Linked DNA regions of Drosophila melanogaster. Changing the gene in region 1 together with any one later gene gives a genetic interaction. Each region holds a gene or a part of one and is shown in the gene's direction. Other genes may lie near its edges. The genes, in order: parvin, Chd64, wech and mew.

Evidence for each region.
Region 2: of parvin (region 1) and Chd64, changing one enhances a phenotype caused by changing the other (phenotypic enhancement), as found in Drosophila melanogaster (one study listed by BioGRID).
Region 3: of parvin (region 1) and wech, changing one suppresses a phenotype caused by changing the other (phenotypic suppression), as found in Drosophila melanogaster (one study listed by BioGRID).
Region 4: of parvin (region 1) and mew, changing one enhances a phenotype caused by changing the other (phenotypic enhancement), as found in Drosophila melanogaster (one study listed by BioGRID).

Annotation. Positions count from the first base shown.
Region 1 is NC_004354.4:19,744,057-19,748,982, forward strand, and holds parvin (parvin), read left to right. Parts: upstream 1-1,984; 5' UTR 1,985-2,132; coding exon 2,133-2,253; exon of another isoform or gene 2,254-2,431; intron 2,432-2,585; coding exon 2,586-2,675; intron 2,676-2,754; coding exon 2,755-3,026; intron 3,027-3,193; coding exon 3,194-3,814; 3' UTR 3,815-4,402; downstream 4,403-4,926. Other genes in the region: Rpp20 (ribonuclease P protein subunit p20), read left to right, coding at 473-625, 699-1,049; CG33932 (uncharacterized protein), read left to right, coding at 1,051-1,497; Alr (augmenter of liver regeneration), read left to right, coding at 4,857-4,926.
Region 2 is NT_037436.4:4,119,372-4,124,067, reverse strand, and holds the start of Chd64 (Chd64), read left to right. Parts: upstream 1-1,679; 5' UTR 1,680-1,858; coding exon 1,859-1,912; intron 1,913-4,696.
Region 3 is NT_033778.4:7,486,806-7,491,623, reverse strand, and holds the start of wech (wech), read left to right. Parts: upstream 1-1,800; 5' UTR 1,801-2,291; intron 2,292-2,931; exon of another isoform or gene 2,932-3,168; intron 3,169-4,818. Other genes in the region: Coop (corepressor of pangolin), read left to right, coding at 1-575. UniProt on the Drosophila melanogaster protein: Vital for larval development. Plays a role in tumor formation. A crucial component for the physical link between integrins and the cytoskeleton in the epidermal muscle attachment sites.
Region 4 is NC_004354.4:13,254,128-13,259,034, reverse strand, and holds the start of mew (multiple edematous wings), read left to right. Parts: upstream 1-1,851; 5' UTR 1,852-2,203; coding exon 2,204-2,418; intron 2,419-4,907. Other genes in the region: CG15742 (uncharacterized protein), read left to right, coding at 800-1,411. UniProt on the Drosophila melanogaster protein: Integrin alpha-PS1/beta-PS is a receptor for laminin.

The DNA of each region.
Region 1 (4,926 bases):
CTTTCTTCTTTTCCTGCTGCCCGAGGAATTCGCCAGCGGAAGTGTGTAAGTGCGCTAGTGTATGTGTGTGTGTGTGCGAGTGTTGCGATTTGGAGTGGCGAAGTGGCGCCGCGCGGCCAAGTTAATTCTTGCTTTGGATGGCATCGATCGGTGCCTTGGCTTACGGTCTGGTGTACTTGATAAGGTGCCAAAACGAAAAACATACCTTTGTTGTTACGAGAGTACGACGAAAAATTTTCAACTGGCGAGAATCTCACGAGCCTGGCGATAGCTATAGCGATGGGCTGGCTCAAAACTATCGAGAGCTGTCACGGTGACAGCTAGAGCCAGGCTGCCAGATCGCTCAGCTATTGCCTAGTGTTCGCTAGAGTTGGCCAGTGTTGGCCAGCGTGCGATTCGGAATGGAGTCGCGAGTCCGAAACTGCGACACGCGCAGGTAAATGGAAAACACAAGTCGCCTCCTCCGCCGCTGATGATGGGAAGCAATTATCCCGAGCACGGGACCAAGCCGAGATCCGCCAAATACCACAAACAACAGAACCACCGAGTGGTGCGCAAGCAGCCGCCGCGTCCCGCTGTTAGCGACCGCCACAACATCTACATCACCAGCAAGACAGACTTTAAGGCAAGTAGAACTGAACTCATGCTGGATGGTGAATCGCCCATGTGCTAAGTGACAGAGTCCATCTCCTTGACAGGCCCAGCAGCGCCGCTGCGAGGAGCTGATTAACTCCGGCGCCCACGAGATCTTTCTGCATTGCATGGGCTTCTCCGTAACCCGCGGCCTCAATATCGCCCTACGCCTCGTCCAGAATTCTGACGGCGCCCTTAGCTACGCCATCAACACCTCCACCGTTCAGCTGGTGGACGAACTGCACCCGCTGTGCGATGCCGAGGACATAACCTTCCGCCAGCGCAACAACTCGGCCCTGCACATCAAGATCCTCAATAACAGTCTCTTCGACATCGCCGTGCCGCAACCGTCGCAGTCCCAGACGCAAGCCCAGTCCCTGGGCCAGTTCCGAGGCAAGGCGAAGGCCAGGCAGTAGCATGTTCAAACTCTCGGAGCTGGTGCGCTGGCTGGGGCTCACCGAGTTCGAGATTCTGGTCAATCTGTGCGGCCTGCTGGTGTTCACCATCACGCTGACCGTCAAGCTCCATCTGCAGGCCAGGGCCGGACCCGGTGGCATACTCCCGGAGCCCATGGGCGACTGGTTCACCGTCTTCAGCCCCCTGTTCTTCATCGACATCTGCAACGCGTACTTTTGCGTCATTGTGGGCATCCGCATGTACCTGGACTCTAACAACAAGCGCAAAGCCCTGCATCGCTTCATGTGGAGCACGTATTTCCTGGTGCTCATCGCCATCTTCAAGTACCTGCTCTGCCTGAAGCTATCCAGCAAGACGGGCCTCGAGTATTCGGAGGTCTTCTCGCCGATCTTCGTTCTGTTGCAGCTCGTGGCTGTGCGCGCCTGCCAGTTGCCCAACTCCATCTAAACCATAGACGTAGTATAGCCCTAGTTCCGTATTATACATATATGTAACTATTCTGAAAGCCTTTAAATCATTGGATTGGTAGTTATCTGTATACGCAATGTGGTACAATAATTTTTAAGCGGTACGAAATTTATCTTTCTGGATATAGCATATCTAATATATACGAATTATATCTGATCTGATTCGGTATGAAGGACATACATACATACATATGTTGTTGTGCTTTTTAATCAATGATCTAATGATCTACGCATTATAATTTTTTTAAAATTTCCAACAATTTAATTTGATGTACAAATTCAAAAACTATTAAGCTGATATGAATTTCTTCTAGCTGTTGTTGTCAAAAGCCACATTTTTTTTAAATTATAAATGAAAAATAACATTTAAGCTCATTGTTTTAATTTAATCTAAGGTCTTTTTAAACAATTTTTATAATTGGCAATTTAGTTTTTATTCGATTTTTTTGGAAGTTTCTCTTGAGTCCGAACGCCAGTGTTGGACAACATGTGTGGTGGGCCTGCGATCAGGTGGCAGCCCCAAGGGAAACTGATTGCTCAGCTCCGCCCGAAACGAATCGAAACAATAACACAAACTGTTCACTTAGTCCGGAATTCTTGGAATCCAGCAGCACCATGTCCACACTGAACCGCCCTAAATCCCCGCACACGCCCACCGCCATTAAAAAGGGCGAGAAGGAGGACAGCTTCTGGGACAAGTTCAGCACTTTGGGCCGCAAACGCGGCACCCGCGAAGGTAAGTCCACTTGATGATTGGAGCTCTCCAGATGGCTATTGTCGGCCAGGAATTGATGGGTATCCCAGAGTATTCCATTCTTGGACCCCTGAACCTCCGAAAAGTGGCCCAAAATGACCCAATGGATCCTCCCCCTGCGCACTGGAAGCTCTTCTGGGAACAGATGTGCGGATGCGCTGATTAATCAGAACATTGCGTCACTGTTGACCCACACAAGCAAACGGCGCTGATAATCGAGAGTGTGTGCGTTTGTGTGAGATGGCCTTGTGTCGTCACCGTTTTTGTTTACCTTGTTGATACCCTAAATACGCATCCGCTTGCTCCATTTGCAGTGAAGAAGGTCCAAGAGGAGGGCAAGTACGCCATCGACTCGCCTGGATCGCCCAGCCAGTATGACATCCCGCCGGAGGACTATGCCCTGCGTAAGTGCATTCGTTTTGAAGGGGCATCTCCTCGTATACCCATCGCATTTCCCACAACTCATCACATTTGATCCTACAGGCGAGCACGAACAGCGCGCCGTCATCGATCCACAGTCCATCAGTGATCCCCAGGTGATAAAGCTGCAGCGCATCCTCGTCGACTGGATCAACGACGAGCTGGCCGAGCAGCGCATAATTGTTCAGCACCTGGAAGAGGACATGTATGACGGCCAGGTGCTGCACAAGCTGTGGGAGAAGCTCACCGGCAAGAAGCTGGACGTTCCTGAGGTCACCCAGTCAGAGCAGGGCCAGCACGAGAAGCTCAACATCGTCCTGAAGGCCGTCAACCATGTAAGTAGTAGTAGTTTATGTTTTGCAGGATTTAAAAATCGGAGTTACCAACATTTAATTATTTATCCATTCTTAAAGTCGAATAGAATAATTTTTATTCGATTTACAATTAACATTCCCTTTTCTCGCGATATAAGAATAAATTTTATCCTTGCCCACACCCACAGACACTCGGCTTTCACCAAAAGATTCCCAAGTGGTCGGTGGCCAGCGTGCACTCGAAGAACATTGTGGCCATATTACATCTGCTGGTGGCACTGGTGCGTCACTTCCGGGCGCCCGTTCGCCTGCCAGAGAACGTGTTCGTGACCGTCGTGATTGCGGAGAAGAATGCGGGCGTGCTGAACGCGCAGAAGTTCCAGGAGCAGATAACGTCCGAGTACGACGACCTGGGCATGCGCTGCGAAAAGGACGCCTTCGACACGCTGATCGACTGTGCGCCGGACAAGCTGGCCGTGGTGAAGAAGTCCTTGATCACGTTCGTGAACAAGCACCTGGCCAAGCTGAACTTTGAGATCAGCGATCTGAACACGGACTTTCGCGACGGCGTATACCTGTGCCTGCTGATGGGCCTGCTCGGTGGATTCTTTGTGCCGCTGCACGAGTTCCATTTGACGCCGCAGGACGTGGATCAGATGGTCAGCAACGTGGCCTTCGCCTTCGACCTGATGCAGGACGTGGGCCTGCCCAAACCAAAGGCGCGGCCGGAGGACATCGTGAACATGGACCTCAAGTCCACCCTGCGCGTCCTATACAGCCTGTTCACCATGTTCAGGGACTTCGCCTGAGTGAAACCCGGATGGAACGAGCCAGCGGGTTGCAGGAGCAACAAGCGGCGCCAATTTTACATTTTATATTAACTTTTTGATAGTGTTTACACGCCTAATTTATGTGCGTTCTCGAAACTGATTGTAGGCGATGCAGCGGTTAAAGCTTACTGATCCTAACTCTCAAAACCACAACTAAATGCTGCGTCGCGTATAATCAGCCCAAGGAATGTTTATATATATATATATATATTTATGTGTCGTACGTCTAACCACTGCGATCTGCTCCAGATTCAGATTGCTCGGAACAGGAAGGAGCAGAGCAGAGCAGAGCTAACCCAAACCCAAAATCCGGCGGCCAGTTGTTAACTTGTCTTACTCACGTGCCAGACGTTGTAGTTGTTACTAAGTGAATTTATTGTATTAATACATTATTTGAACACAATAACCGAGATTGTGCCTTTAGATCACACAGAGCTTTTGCAAATTATGTCACAGATCAGATTTTAACGCTGTAAATGTAGAAGTTTACGGAAAAGTCTTAAAAAAAAATTTTATTGTGTACGTTAAAAATTTGGATCAGAAAAATCAATAAATATTGCCAATAGCATATGTGTTATTCTATTTTAAACAGTTCCAAGGCGCAAAATTTATCTGGGGCTGCAGCACTCACAAACGCCAGCTTCCATCCTATTCACATGTAAGTTCTTTCGAGCGTCTCGAATTGATTGAGAAACAAACCTTAGTAATTTTCTGAACGCTGTGCTATTTGAATTGTCGCGGTTGCGCGCGCAACTCGCAACGGTCTGGTATCGATCACAGCTGCGAGCAGGCTGCCAGATCGCTTCCCGTTCGGGAACGATTTCGCATCGATTTTCGATTGCTGGCCGGTATAATTTGAAAATGTTACTTTGCTGACCGGATTTTGGTCCTTGGCCAGATGTTGGCCATGAATCTAAAAGCCAGTATTTAGTAACTTGCGTTGATTGCAGCCGCTTAACTAAGCCGCTTAGCCAGATATGTCCTAATGTTATGTGTTTCGTTTCGAAACAAGGTGGCAACCATGCGCATGCTTTTTATGATTTTCACAATAGCCGAGCGAAGTTTCAAGATTCTAGAACTACCCACCACAC
Region 2 (4,696 bases), on another chromosome or scaffold:
TTATTTTTTGCCCAACTTTGCACAGTTGTTCTGTAAGTTAAGTTTAATACGTTGAGCCAACGAATCGTGAGGTATTATTTATTTAAACAAAACGAAACAAACGAAAAAAAAAAAACATAGGAAAGAGGAGGAAATAAGGAAATTCAATTGAAATTATTTGCTGATACTGTTCGCAGCTAGTCGAGCAGATACATAGGTAGCCTGTAAACAATAAAACAATTACACGCGGATATATACACCCACTGTAATCACAGATGTCAGTGCTTGATATACACATGCCTAGGTCTAGTGGAACTGGTAGTTCTACCATGTTGTACTATTTGTAGTAGGAGTCCCAAATCTGATTATGCTTATGTCACCCTTTATTATAGGAATGTTCTCTGTATATTATTGCGTCTCTTTTGCGTCTACGTATATATTTTTTGGTAAATGATTTTTTATATATACATATACACATTTATATTTGTAATTTGTATTTATCCATGTGCAAAAATAAATTATGATGATTATTTTTTAAAGAGTCGTCCCCCTCGAAGCATGCATAACAGATTGTAAAAAATGAATCGATTTATATATAATACGAAAATCACACACTACCCACTTGTATCTGAGCGAAAGGGCCTTAACAATTAGTAGGATGCATGATCGATGTATGCAGATCGGTTATAAAAACAGATATAGCAGGCATATTATTCGCATGCGAAAACCGTTAATAGAATAATATATTATAATGGCAATATGTGTATGCAACTAATAAGCCCTAACTTCTAGTTAATTACTGCTTTCCTATGTTATAAACCAAATGGCGATATAATCAAAACAAAAGACAAGCCCACATAAGTTAAATGTGTATGCTACCAACATAACAAACCTTTGAAGATCAAGCTGAATTATGTATTTCTAATATTAAATATATCACAACCCACACATAAAAAAAAAAAAACAAACACGACAAATAGAACAACAAATTATACAAGCAATTCCCCTATTTATTTAGAACCACACTGAAACACTAAAGAAATTCGCTTCTTATCGTAAATCCACAATTGCATAATTTATACGATTAAACAAAATATATATTTATGTGAATAAACTGTAACTAATTCTCAAGGCAATCATCCAAATGCGATTCGCTACTTCTTGGTTTCCAGAAAGTCCCCCAAAAATGTCATGGTCATCTGAATGGAATGCTGCTGCAAGAACCTCTCGATAAGGGGGAACATAGGAAGTTTTCAATGGAACTTTACTCTGGCGAATCTTATCGGATAGTTTGTACACAACCGCAAAAAGTAGCACTAATAGTGGTTGACTTCTATTAAAAGTAAAGCAACAGGTGGATCATGGAAATCATACTGATTCAGATTCATTATCTTTTCAAAACCTATTGAAAACAAAAGTTACTGGTTTAGAAGGCAAATGAACCAGAAATTTTAAATTTATACTTATATAGTGTAAAATTGTTTCCAGTGCTCGATAGTTCCATGTTTTATTATTTGAAAAACAACTGCCGTTAACAAAGCGGTATGACATCATCAATGCCATCATAACAAATCAGCTGCCGCTGATAAGCGCAGCTTGGAGCTTTTATGTTGTACCCAACCTACTAGGTACAAGACTGAGTGTGCTTTACAACACTAAACTGTTGGCGAGCTTTCCTCTGTTTCGCAGCTCGGACCGCCTTTCATAACGTAGTAAGTTTTCGTTGCGAACGGACGTAGCCCAACCAACTTGGCCTTAACCCTTGCGCTCCCTCCGATTTATTCCGCGGCAAACACATTCCAGTGGACAGTGGTGCAGTTCAGCCCAAGACCAACCTACATTTTAGCTCCCTGCAAACCCGTTTCTTCATCAAATAACTATGGCGTCCAACCGTGCAGCGAAGTCTGGTTTTGCCGCCGAGGCCCAGCGCAAAGTAAGTACCAAATAGCAACAACAACCGCACCCCCCACCCAAAAACCGAAGAGCGCCAAACAAAACAACACAATAAACAAATTGCCCAAAAAAAAATCAACTTTTGCACGGGTGTGTGCGTGAGTTTAGAGCTGCATTGACTTTATTTGGCGCTGCGTTGTCAAGATTTTATCTTCGCGCGCCAAATGCCAAAAATTAGCCAAAAATGGTCTTGAAATTGCCAGCGTCTAACAAGGAATGACCTCATTTCGCTGATAAGTCGAACAAGTATTTATGTACATACATATGTATATAGGAATATATACATGCATGTACACACATGTGTAATGCATGCGTAATTCGAAAGCTTGAAGATGATTTAGGTGATTTTGAGGCATTGTCAGTGCGGGTGATTCAAATCGAAGATCGAGAAAACAGTTGGTTATCCATAAATCAAACAATTAGTAGTAGTTAGTAAAGCTCTGGAAATTTCGATATGAATAATATCCCAAGTTCGAACAGTATACATTATAAAGATGAGCTAATATAATCCTAATTAATTGTGCTGCAATAAAAGCAAGTCTGAATACATAGGTGCTACTTGTGGAGTATCCACTGTAGAAGGAAGACCCTTTGGATGATCTCAACCCAACTATTGCAGCATGGTAGCTTCCGCAATGTAAATTGACATTAGTTCCGTCCATTAGCAGCACTTTGCCTCAAATGCACTCATACAAATGCATCGGGCTTTTGTGGGTGGGATGGGGTTGGGGATGGGTTACCCGTACCCTTCGGCCATTTGGCCCTCGTCAAGTCGGGGTTACGCAATTCCAACCGCCCCTGGGCAGCCCCAAGTGAAATTGTATATGTCGCCGGCACAGGGGATTAAGTGCAGTCCGACGAAATCCACAACAAGACAACTACAGTTACAGCATTGCCCAAACAAAAAACGAAACAAATAATCGAGATTTTTCATATCCGAAGTTTTGTATACCCTTGAGGAGCACTTTACCAAGTTGTTGACAAACTGAAATATTTTGTTTTGCTTTAGCTTTGCTTATCTAAAAGTATTTCCACCCGGATTTCATTCTCTTGAGTCAGCCATTTGGCAAAAGGCCTTGTTTATCGGTATTATCTGTACTAGCGCATTTTTAAAACACAGTATGTTTTAAAACACAGTATGAAGTATGTTTTAACGTGGTTTATGGTGATATATCAGGCACTATGGTTATGAAAAATATTATGAGAACTCTGTAGTGTTTATTTATGCCATATCATGTTAAGCTAAAACATTTTGGTACTTGGAATAGGAAGAACCTTGGCATAGGGTATAGAAAAATAAGAGAAATAGAGGCGAGTGCCTGGAGGCGCAGCTGCTGGCGCGACTCCAAGCCGCGATCGAATGGCTCCCCAGGAGCCGAAGGCGATGATGTCATTCCTTCAGCTGTCCCTCCACTGGTGCTCCTCGATCCCTTCGCGATCCATTCAACTCGAAGGCGTTGTTAGTTTGAGCACTTTTGCCGCTCGCTGGGAGTCACTCATATCTTCTGAGGGGGATTCGGGTTCGGGTTTTGAGTTTTTGGGGGTGACAGGAGGTAGAGGCGATAGCAGCACCTTTTCCACCACATGAGCACTTAAAACTGAGTATGTGGCGTAAGCAAACAGCAAAACAAAAGTGAGGCAAAAAGGTATGAAAGCAATATTTTTGTTTGTCTCATGGGTTCTCTACACTCCGTGCTTGCGTGTGTGCTTTTTCCGACTTTTACGACCAGTCACCGACAAATTGGCATGGATCTCAAGTTTCGGCCAGGGAATTCGTAGCCCCTTTATTTTCAACCCTTTCCTGGGATCGTAGCACCAGCTGTCGGGAAAGTTCTAGGAATGAGGCAGAAAGGTCTCAAGTTACTCAAAGTATGTTTACTAATTTGTAACTACATAAACGATTGAATATATTAGTTTAGCAATCTTAGATTCAGCATGATACTATTTCCTTTCTGGAAATTCACCCCTAAGAAGCCGCACTGTAGTTGTTTTCTTTTCCAACTCCCTCCACGCTCGCAGCTGTATCTCACCGCATTGGCGGCACATGGGCCACGTACTAATCACTTGGCCTTTTTCGGAGTCAAGAATCCACACTCAATTAGCAGTGCATATGTGAAAGACACTGTGTACACACTTGTACATCCGCAGCACGCACCTCCCTGTATCTGTATCTATATATCAGTATAGGTACGGGTATCTCTATCAGTGCGGGCGACACGTAAGTGGAACACTTGGCCCACATGAACTCCGTGCTCCTAGATGGGTATAGCTAGGTATTCATTCCCGAACCTCTCCCCCAAAAATTTAACACTTGTTGGCCGCTAGTTTTAGATAAGCCATAAACAGTCGCGGGAGGTGGTCGACAGCGGCTTTATCGTAAATCAAATGCTGTTTTGGATTTCCGGTGAAACTACTGCCAGTGCCGAAAACACCTCGACAAATGAAAATGGAATGAAATTCTGCCCCCTGTCCAAATCCCTCCGAAAAAGGCACTCGATGGGGGCCCATACAACAACTCAGTCAACTGAAGTCGAAGTTGGTCGCTCGTAAACCAGACTCAAAAATCATATATGTATGTACGCAATTGACCTCGTTACATTTTTGCGGATTTTGTTTATGTTATCGTTGTGGAATTTTTGTCATTTTCCCATTTATTTATCCACCCAAAAGATATCGGTCAGCAATTGTCATGGATCATGACGCATTCGAATCGCAAAAGAAAGCGAAATCGGCGGTGGCATAGTGAATAATCACCAGATCTGGC
Region 3 (4,818 bases), on another chromosome or scaffold:
CCATATGCGAGCTCAGCCACAGCTATGACTCGGAGCTACACCAGCCCAGCTTCTCGGACATCAGTTCGTTCTTCGAGGATCGCGACTGCCAGCCGCCGGAGAATAAGAGATTTAAGTCGGAGCCCAGTCAGAGGGAGGAGGACGAGGAGGATGACGATGACTTCGACGAAGATGCCGCCTCGGAGAACTTGGAAGAGGAACGCGGCAATCGTGCCGATGCTGCCAGTTCCGGTGTATTCACCATAGAAGTGCTCGATGACGACGACGAAATGGAGCAGGCGGTGACCAAGACCAAGGCGAATAACACTAGCCACGGCGGATCCAGCCTGAAGAGCGAGCAGGAGGCCAAGGTGTTCTCCAATTCGCAGTCACCCACCGCCGATCTGCCATTCAAGTATATCAGCACGGATGTGGCCACGAATACGGATCCCTCTGGTGGAGATCTCCAGGACGAGGCGGATCGCATGTTCCTGCTCAGTCTGATGCCCTTCCTGCAAAGATTGGACAGCCGCCGGCGTCTGCGCGTGCGCCAGAAATTACAGAACGTGCTCATCGAGGAACTGGAGTTTGGCTGAGGACGCGTATATCCGGGGGAATGTGGGGAGATTTACTTTATAAGCCTAGCTTACAGTATTATAAGAACGCGACTGACTAACTCTGTGAATCTGCCTACATACGTAGCATGTAATCAGTATTCCGGCCTGCTTTCCTTCATACCAACACACTTCAATACATACCATATTGCATTACAATACATATTTACACTTCAAATAGACGATCACGCCAGCATGATTACTTGTTTCTTCCTCAGGATAACCGCTCACTTTTACCTGTATCTGCGCTCCGGTGCACCTGCGCCTTTTACCTGCGCACCCCGCCCGCAGTTCGAGTTCCCAATTATCCACGGTCACTGTTGCAATTGCATTTTTCCAGCCACGGGCGGCTCAAAATTTCTGTCAGTGCAAAACAAGTTCTTTAAGGGTGGTGCACGCGGCAACAACAACAACCACAAGGTGATTCCCTCCGCATTTTCGCGCCACATGCGCCGTTAATGCTAATGTACCGCGCTCTCGCTCGCTCTCTCCGCTCACCAATCACAATGCGCTCCGGATGGGCGAAACTTGGTCGAGCCTAGGCAACTTGATAATTCCCTTTTGGTGTGTTGTGTTTTTTGCCTGAAAACATCTCCCCATGTTTTAAAAATGATTCAAAGCTTTCGTTGAATAATGGCGGGCTTAACAGTTCTGCGATTTGCTTAATAGGGTCCAATTGGATGGAGTTTAACTTTCAAAAACTTTCGCTAAACAGAAAGCTCATCTTCTAATGAGTAGAGTCTGAAATTTAGACGCAGAATCCATAAAAATTCTTAGTGGTTCATGCATTGTTGTTAAAATGTTGAATGCTGTTTTGTCTTTTCGGAACTCATTTGGAATTCCAAAATTTAAGGTGAAACACTATTTAATTTTAATTTAAAATTCCTTTTAATTTCAGCAGTATGATTCCCCTCTGATTTGTAATCACAAAAATGTTCATGGCCATTCATTGACCATCATTTATACTTATTATAATCATTTATACTATTTATAAAAATTGAAATATAACAGTTAGCAGAATCAGTGTGACCAGCCATTGTGAGGATCAAAAACTAAACCTCCAATTCGGCTATGCCCGCGATACCCTGAACGAACAGGGGCGCGAATGACAAAAACAACAAAAACCAGCAGCAGCAGAAGGGCAGCGTCGTAACGAGAGAGCCGGGCAGAGAAGAAGAGGAAGAGGCAACGGCAGCGGCGAGCGCATGAACGTGAGTTTTGCAGTTTGATGGTTAAATGCGTGCGTGAAGGTTGGAGTGAAGATTTTGAGCCGAATTCGAATCCTAGTCCCCGCCGCAATAAGTGGGTCAGAATTGGAGCCGTTCGATTGGGCCAAACAAAAAGCTGGGCGCCACCGCAGACTGCAGCTAAAACACGCCGCCAAAGTAATTGGAAGAAGAAGCAGGCGCACAATAGGAATAATTGTTCATGGATTTTTTCGATTTCTCGTTCGCTTGCAGAAGGAAAAGTGCACGAGGGTGGAACCAAGGGTAAATAAGATTCGCCCGAAAACGCTTGGAAAATGTAAACAATCTGTAAGCACAGCGACGATAAGCGATTTTCAAAGAGTTTGCCAGCTTTTTACATCGATCAAACACTCGCATAATAAACGAATAAGAACTGACGATTAAATCGAATTGAAGTGGAGTGACGACTATGGGATACCCTAGGACCGCGTAGAGTGAATGAATTTGACAAGTGAGTTAAAAAAGCCATGGGGCACGAATTAAGTTAGCATAATATATGTGCGTAAATCAATTCAGTGCTATTAACTAAGTTTGTTGGGGGAAATGTTAGCTGTGTAATCCGCATAAAAGGAAATCTTGTTTAGGACCCATACGCCCCTGATACCCTGGACCGAAGCGGACGCCATTATCCTATTAGCCGTTATGCCCCATCAAGCGATTCGATTGTTTGAGGTTAGTAACAGTACATCTGACCAAACTTCTGCATCGACCCTCTGTATTAAACGCAGTTCTTTGCGGCATAAGTGAAAATAAATAGAAGATAAAATGTGCATGTGAGCCTCCCGTGCATGAGTGTGCCTGTGTCCGTGCGCCCTGCGAAGGAGAAACAGAGAGCGGAAGAAATAGGAAAAGAAGAGAGCGGGCGAAACGAAAGAGAGAGCGACGGTTTTGGAGCGCGCGCGCACATCAAAATTAAAAAACAAACTGTGAGATACATTTGGGTTTATTTTTTATATTTTGTTTAGGCTACATAGGCGATGATGATGATGTTGATGAGCGGCAAAAGCAACAGAGAGAGAGATAGAGAGAGAGAGAGAGAGCGAGCGACTCGAGTGTTATGTTGTGTTTTCAGTTTCGGTTTCGGATGTATCTTCTTCAGTCGGAATAAGGAATACACGATTGTCGGAGCGAACGGATTACGCATAAGAACTCTCTGGAAAACGAATTTCGCCTCGCGAAAATCCGCTGAAAAGGCAAAGCCAAGCCAATTCAAAACGGAATCCGCACCGCATCAAATTAAAAATCGAATCAATTAGCGAAAATCGGTACTGAACGCGCGACCCAACAACAACAAAAGCCAAGCGTCTTGCATGCGGCTGCTAAAAAAGGTGTGTACGCGAAGGAGATGCACGTAGAGAGCGAAAGAGGAGGCACGAGCGTGCCACTATCAACAGAATTTGATAAATAGACTTTAGTCCAATTGCTGCCAAATGCAAATATTGATTTTCACTACTCCCAAGATTTCCCAAAAGATTCCTCTCGACGCTTTTCCGTTTTTGGAAAATATACATACACAAATATACGGACGATTTGCGGCGCAGAAACCACCTACATACGGACATGTAGAGAAACTTGTGTGAATACAACCCTCGTCCTCATCCCCCTATGTTTTTGCGTCGTATCCTCGCTGCACGAACACAAATGTAGCGCTGTAACCGTGTGTGTATGTGTGTGTCTGTGTGTTTGTGAAAGGACTTTAACTTCTTGGTCGTGTTTTTTCCACGTCCTGCGACTCGGAGACAGACCCGTTTCAATGGAAAACGTTCAAGGGTGACAAGGGTAGTTTCGCTGATGCCTCCTCCTTCTCCTCCCCCTCTTCTTTCTGCATGGAGTCCTTTTCCTGCTCTTGTTCTTCTTATCCTTGTTTTTGTTGCCGCTGTCTACACGGTTCGAAAATATCCTAGAAGTGCATTCCTTTCCTAGGGCGTTGCATTGTTTAGCCGAAAAAAAGGGTACCAAAGCTGAGTTTGTTTATTGATTTCATCAGGACTGTTCGCAATCCAATCGCAACCATTACGCACAACCGCTTTTCTTAAACTACAGATGGTATGGAAATTCACGTTGTTGTGATTTCCCTTTAAACACTTTAAGGAGTGTATTTTCTTTTTATAGAATGCTAATTCATAGATGTTAAAACATCCCTAACATCTTGTCGTTTTTTAAAATCTCCTTGTCAAAACGGTAATAACATTCAAAGTTACCTTAACTCAAGGAACGTAAAATCTTGTCCTTAAAATGGGTTTATTTAATAATATCAACATATTTGCGCATTAAGTATATACATTTTCCTGGCTTAAATTTCCAATTTGGTTTGCTTTAAAATTTTACTTAGAACTGATTAAACCGAACAAGTTCGTTAAGTTCTTGTTTATCGAAATGCAAATCCATTTAAAGGGGTGTGATCCTTTACACCAACTTTTTATTAATATATATTCTGGGCCATAGTGCATCTTAATATAAGAACTGAACTGCCAGGCAAATTGTTTTCACCACAGATCGACAAAAATCATCAATCGCTTGACTTTAATATTTTTCCTTGACGAGAGCAACGGGAGGCCTAAACTCAACCCGCAGACATTCAATAACCCTTTTCCACCTTAACCCCATTCGTAAACTGGATTTGCTACCCCTCAAGTCATACTATAAATTAACTCAAATCACCCAAAATCAGAATGAAGGAAGAAATACACGTTCCTGTCGTCAAGTTTTCCGCAGAGTGTGGAAGAAACAGCTCCGTAATCCTGACCCGGTGGAGGGATGAAAGTCGGTCGTTTTATTGGGTCTACGCTCCTCGTCTTAGAGATGGAAACCAGTTCCGTCTGTTGTTTTATGACGTAGTCGCTTTGTGTTTGCCACCCCATTCTCCCCGCCGGAAAAGTCGCTTGCGCAGTGCTGGCGAAGCGAGGTGGTGGGTGGAAAGACAGGAAAATATTGTAACTACGTGATAAGGTTGAGCGCTGAGGTGGGGCCCCGTGAGG
Region 4 (4,907 bases), 6.5 Mb from region 1:
TTCAAGGAAGATGTGATCTAAAATTTTATTCAGCACATGCGCCTAGGAATCCAGGGCTGGCGAACTTGTTAGTACATCCATATGGGATTTGGTTTTTAAATATACGTTTCTTTTGCCAAGTTTAATAACTAACGACTCGTATTTGCATGATTTTTTTTTTTAATAATAATAATTAAATTTATAAAGCAAGCGGTTGATTTTTTAAATTGGTAGAGTGCTCGAGAGCTCTTTAATATAAAAGTTGTATATGTATAAATATTAATAAATTCTCGCCGGGCTTTTACTAACAAAAAATGTAATCATTTAATTTTTTAAGATTTTCCGGTAAGAGAAGTCTTAAATTGCTACCGCATTTATACCAGAAAATTCGTGGTCCACAATAATCGATTTATCGATAATATCCGACTGAACGAAAATTCAAATCTAGTGTGCGAGGAAATTTAGAGACGAAAGTTTACGTATTTAAGCGTCCAGTAGTCATTGAGTTAAGTGTAGCTACCTGATTCGGATAATTAAGTACTTTTACTTTTTTGGGAGCACAACAAAATTTTGTTCTCGTTCTTACTTTTACACAGCAAAATTTTATAATTTTTTAAAATTTTTCTGCCGGGCTGTTCGACGAAGCAAAATCAATTTACCAGTACTACGACGGTGAGTGACGATGCCAATCGCTAACTTTCTGTACACACGTATGTTACCATTCCGAGAAAGTTTCTAGATAACAAACACGGCCATTGCAGCTTACTTGTATAATAAAACACATTTCTAACACGCTTTTTACACGACAAACCGCGGTTCGATGTCAAAAGTTCGATGCAATAAGATCGACCACTGCTTGCTGGGCGCAGTTCGCGGCATTAAGCCGCCCTATCGCTCGGTGCGTAATGCCCAAGACGGCGTGATTAGCACCTTCCTGGACAAGTACAGTAGGCCCAATTATTTTGCCATCCGCTTGGTGATACCCGCCGAGTTGCCACCCATCGATCTGGCCGAAATACTTATGGACATGCTAAAGATGCAAATATTGCGCCGCAAGAATTGTATCGCGTCGTCCAATTGGGTCAGGATGAAATATATATGTCAATACGGCAGCAAAGCCGATGAGACGTTCATCATGCATGACAGTGCCATGAGAAAACTGCAGCAGGCCATTGAAGAGCTCACCAATCTGCTCGATCAACTGAAGCTGGCGTATGAGCCCGTTTCCTATGGACGGATAGCCGTGCAGGCTCAACAGTTGGATAAGCGGGCCCAGATATGGCAGAATTTGCTCAACGGCCGCAATGAGCAGTTGGAGCGCCGTTTAGCTCGGGACATTTCACTCCCATATCCTCCTGCAATAGATGCCCGCATGCGCATTTCGAAAAGTTATCAAGTTATCAACCATATGCGCACTTGGCGTTTCGGCTAAGGTCAGCAAATTAGAATTTGGTCGAATTTGTTTGTATATCAATATGGTCACTAAAGATGCTGCTGTGATATTTTACCTTGCTTTTGGATATATATACATTTCTTTGGATAGCATCTACCTGGACTGAGACGTTCTACTGTCATAGTGATTCTGATGTCGTATGACTTCTATATTAACTTTAAATTAATCGAGTGCAACGCATGTCGAGATTAATAAATAACATATCAACAACAAAACACAAACTTTGACTTACCTCCGCGCTGCCCGAATTGCAAACAAAGAGAATGATGTTATCCAGCCCTCTAGTGTAGTGGAACTGCTTGTGCGTCTGCTTGCTATATGTTTGACCACTGCTTGCACAGCGCACATGTATGTTCGAACCATGTTCGAACCATGTTCGATGGTAGCTCAGTAGCTTAGTGTAGCTCTTCTGTGCGAAGCATTTTATTTTTCGTTTGCCCGTCGAAGAAGGCGAAGCGAAGAGAAAATATCTGCCGCTTCGAACGCACGCTATCAATGTCTAATTCTTTACGTAATAATCATTTTTTTTTTTGCTGTGTGACTGAAACGAAGAAATATACGAGCAAAAGTGAAAAATACGTGGACTACCTGTTGATCCAAAGATCTCAACGGATTTAGTGTGTGTGTGTGTGTGTGCGTGCGTGTTTTTTTTCGGTTCATTGTTTTGTTTGCAATAGTGCAAAGGAAAAAGTAATCACTTTGCCGTGTTCGGTGCACGTGCACGAAATATTTATAAAATATATATTAAAAAAAAAAAACATAAAATTAACGATGTTGGAGCTACCGTTTACCACCATACGGCCCAACTGCCGGCTAAGACAGAATCTTGGTATTCTGATAATCCTGCAATGCGTTCTCACTTGCTACAATTTCAACCTAGAACAGCGATTGCCCATTGTGAAGTACGGACATCCGCATTCGCATTTCGGCTACTCGGTGGCCACCCACACTATTGGCGAGGCCAATGGGCCCAACAAGACCAACTGGTAAGTGGATAGTTAAGTGGATAGATAAGTATCTGAAAGATGCGTCCAAAGTATGCGAACTTCCAAAGTGAATCATTATCTGCAGTTCATTTAAACGCTTAGGCATATTTTTATTTTTCAACAATCAATTTTAAACTTGCATCCAAAAGATTTATTCGAAAAGTGTCTTGTTGTCTCAGCTGTGTTTTTTTTCTTTAGAAAAATGTTAGGTAAACAATAATGCTGAAGAACAGGTAGAGAAGAATCCAAATCCAAATTCGTGTCCGAATCGGAAATTCGCGCCAAGAATCTTGTTGGTGCGCAAACAGGTTTTTATATTCGCCAAATCGATTTCAGCTTAATTGACTGGCATTGATTGTTATTAATCAGCAGCACACGAACAATAACAACAACAACAACAAATAATAAAATAATAATAATAATAAGAAGAATTTGCATTGCAATCGCTGTGTTTGTTGCTGTTGTTCAGGGGGGGGGGGGGGGCTATCAAAGTTTGCTAATGCGCGAAACTTGTTTGAAATCGTGTTTTTATTGTTGAATTACCATAAATTGTTTGAATATCGAGTATTTCCAGAGATGATGCCAGGTTTTAGATGTTTTTCGAATCGAAACAAACCATAATAAACTGAATGCATATGCCAAATGCAATGACAGCAGATAAGTGTTAAATATTATATTTGTTTGTTTCTCTTTTTTTTTTTTCGAATTGCTATTTGAAGAATTTCAACAGTTTAAACGATTTGTCATCCTTACTATCTGAGAATTTGCCTGTTTGATATTTTATGGTTTTGATTGTTTATTTTTGTGCAACTGATAAGCATAGTTGGTCGAAGAACAGACGAATTGTTTTAATGTTTCCCCCGACATGGGTTAAACCCTTGAACTATTGCGACTGAAGCGGATGTGGATTTATTTGCATTTGTCATAGATTCTTTTTGGCGAGGGCTTGGTGCTCATTAAATGTCTCGTATTGGCGACTTTATAAGTTGGCCAACTCCTTTTCGCATTCTCTATATACAATACAAGCAATACATAGATAGATAGATAGATAGATACATTGGCCAAACCAAACTCGGTAGACAAAACGGAGCCAGACGGCCAGTGGCCATAAAAATGGGCAGACAACAAATCTGGAATCAATACAAGCTGCGACTTGGATGCGCCAATTTGCAGCGAAAAAAACTGAGTTGCTAACATTTTAATACATTTAATACAACTGAACTGGCAATCGAGTTATTCCCGCCACATGGTGTGGTTTCTTAACCATGTATTGTGGTAAAAAAAAAGAAATTGTGCCATTCGCGGCATGCCCCATCGCTATCACTCGGTGCGTAATGCCTACGTAGGCGTGAAAAAGTCATGTTCCCCTTCTCTCTCTCTTGCCAAGTAGTGCCCTCTCCTTCGGTCACCCGAATAAGGGAAAGGGATATTATTATTATACTTATCATATATATGTTTATATATATCATTTATCGGCCGACGAGTCTAAGTGTACCAGCCTGAGTCATTTGGGTTAAGTAACGAAATGTCACGTATTGAAAGTCCAACTGAAAATCAATAGACCTTCAAAAAAAAAAAAATAATAAAAATAAATTTGCAAATGAGATGCATGATAAACTTTGAGCTTTAACTTCAATGTAATGGTGATATTATATGGTGGTGACCCCGTTTGGCAAGAAGTGGTGACCCACGCTGTTTCTTAAATCTGCATCGCGTCTTTAAATGACGCACTTGAAATCGGAAGAAGCTGTAATCCAAACGGAAATTGCTGTTTTTTTTCGCATCGAAGGCTAGTCCGATAACTGCAGTGAATTGCACAGTTAACTTGAATTTCCAGCTCGTTTATTGCGCGCCTTTTGTTTTTCAGTTTTGTTTGCACTTTGCGATTGTCGCATATTTGTTTTATTAATGAAAAAAAAGGTACGTATGCAAATAATGTGACTCGCTTATCGCTGGCCCATCTTAATTTTTTTTTTGTACCAGCCATATATACCAGCGGTTACGTGGCGCAATTATTACCTTTGATGATATGGTACAAATTGAGATAAGCCGCTGAGGATGGTCGATTAAGCTATACAATTGTTTTCGTACCCTTGCCGTGGCATTTACAGCGCCATAAAAAATGTGTATATATGTAGGCGACTTTTTTTAATTAGCACCTTCAATCAATCGGCATTAAATAATGATTGGCTTTGTTAATGAACTACAATTTCATTGCGCTGAATACTCAATATATTGCAGATTGAAAATGGTATGAAAATGCTAGCACGATTTTAACTCGCTTGCATGTAAATAAATCTCTGAGATTCGGTGTATCTCGTAGATGTTGTATCTCATGTGGGATACTTCTTCTGCATCGCGAACAGCTCACTGGTTGTGTTTATGCCGACAACATGTGTTCCTTGTTTGCGCCAAAAAATATAGAAGAGAACAAAAACTAAGAAAGAACTTAAAAAACTTTTCGGCGAAATGAGGTCAACAGACGCCAA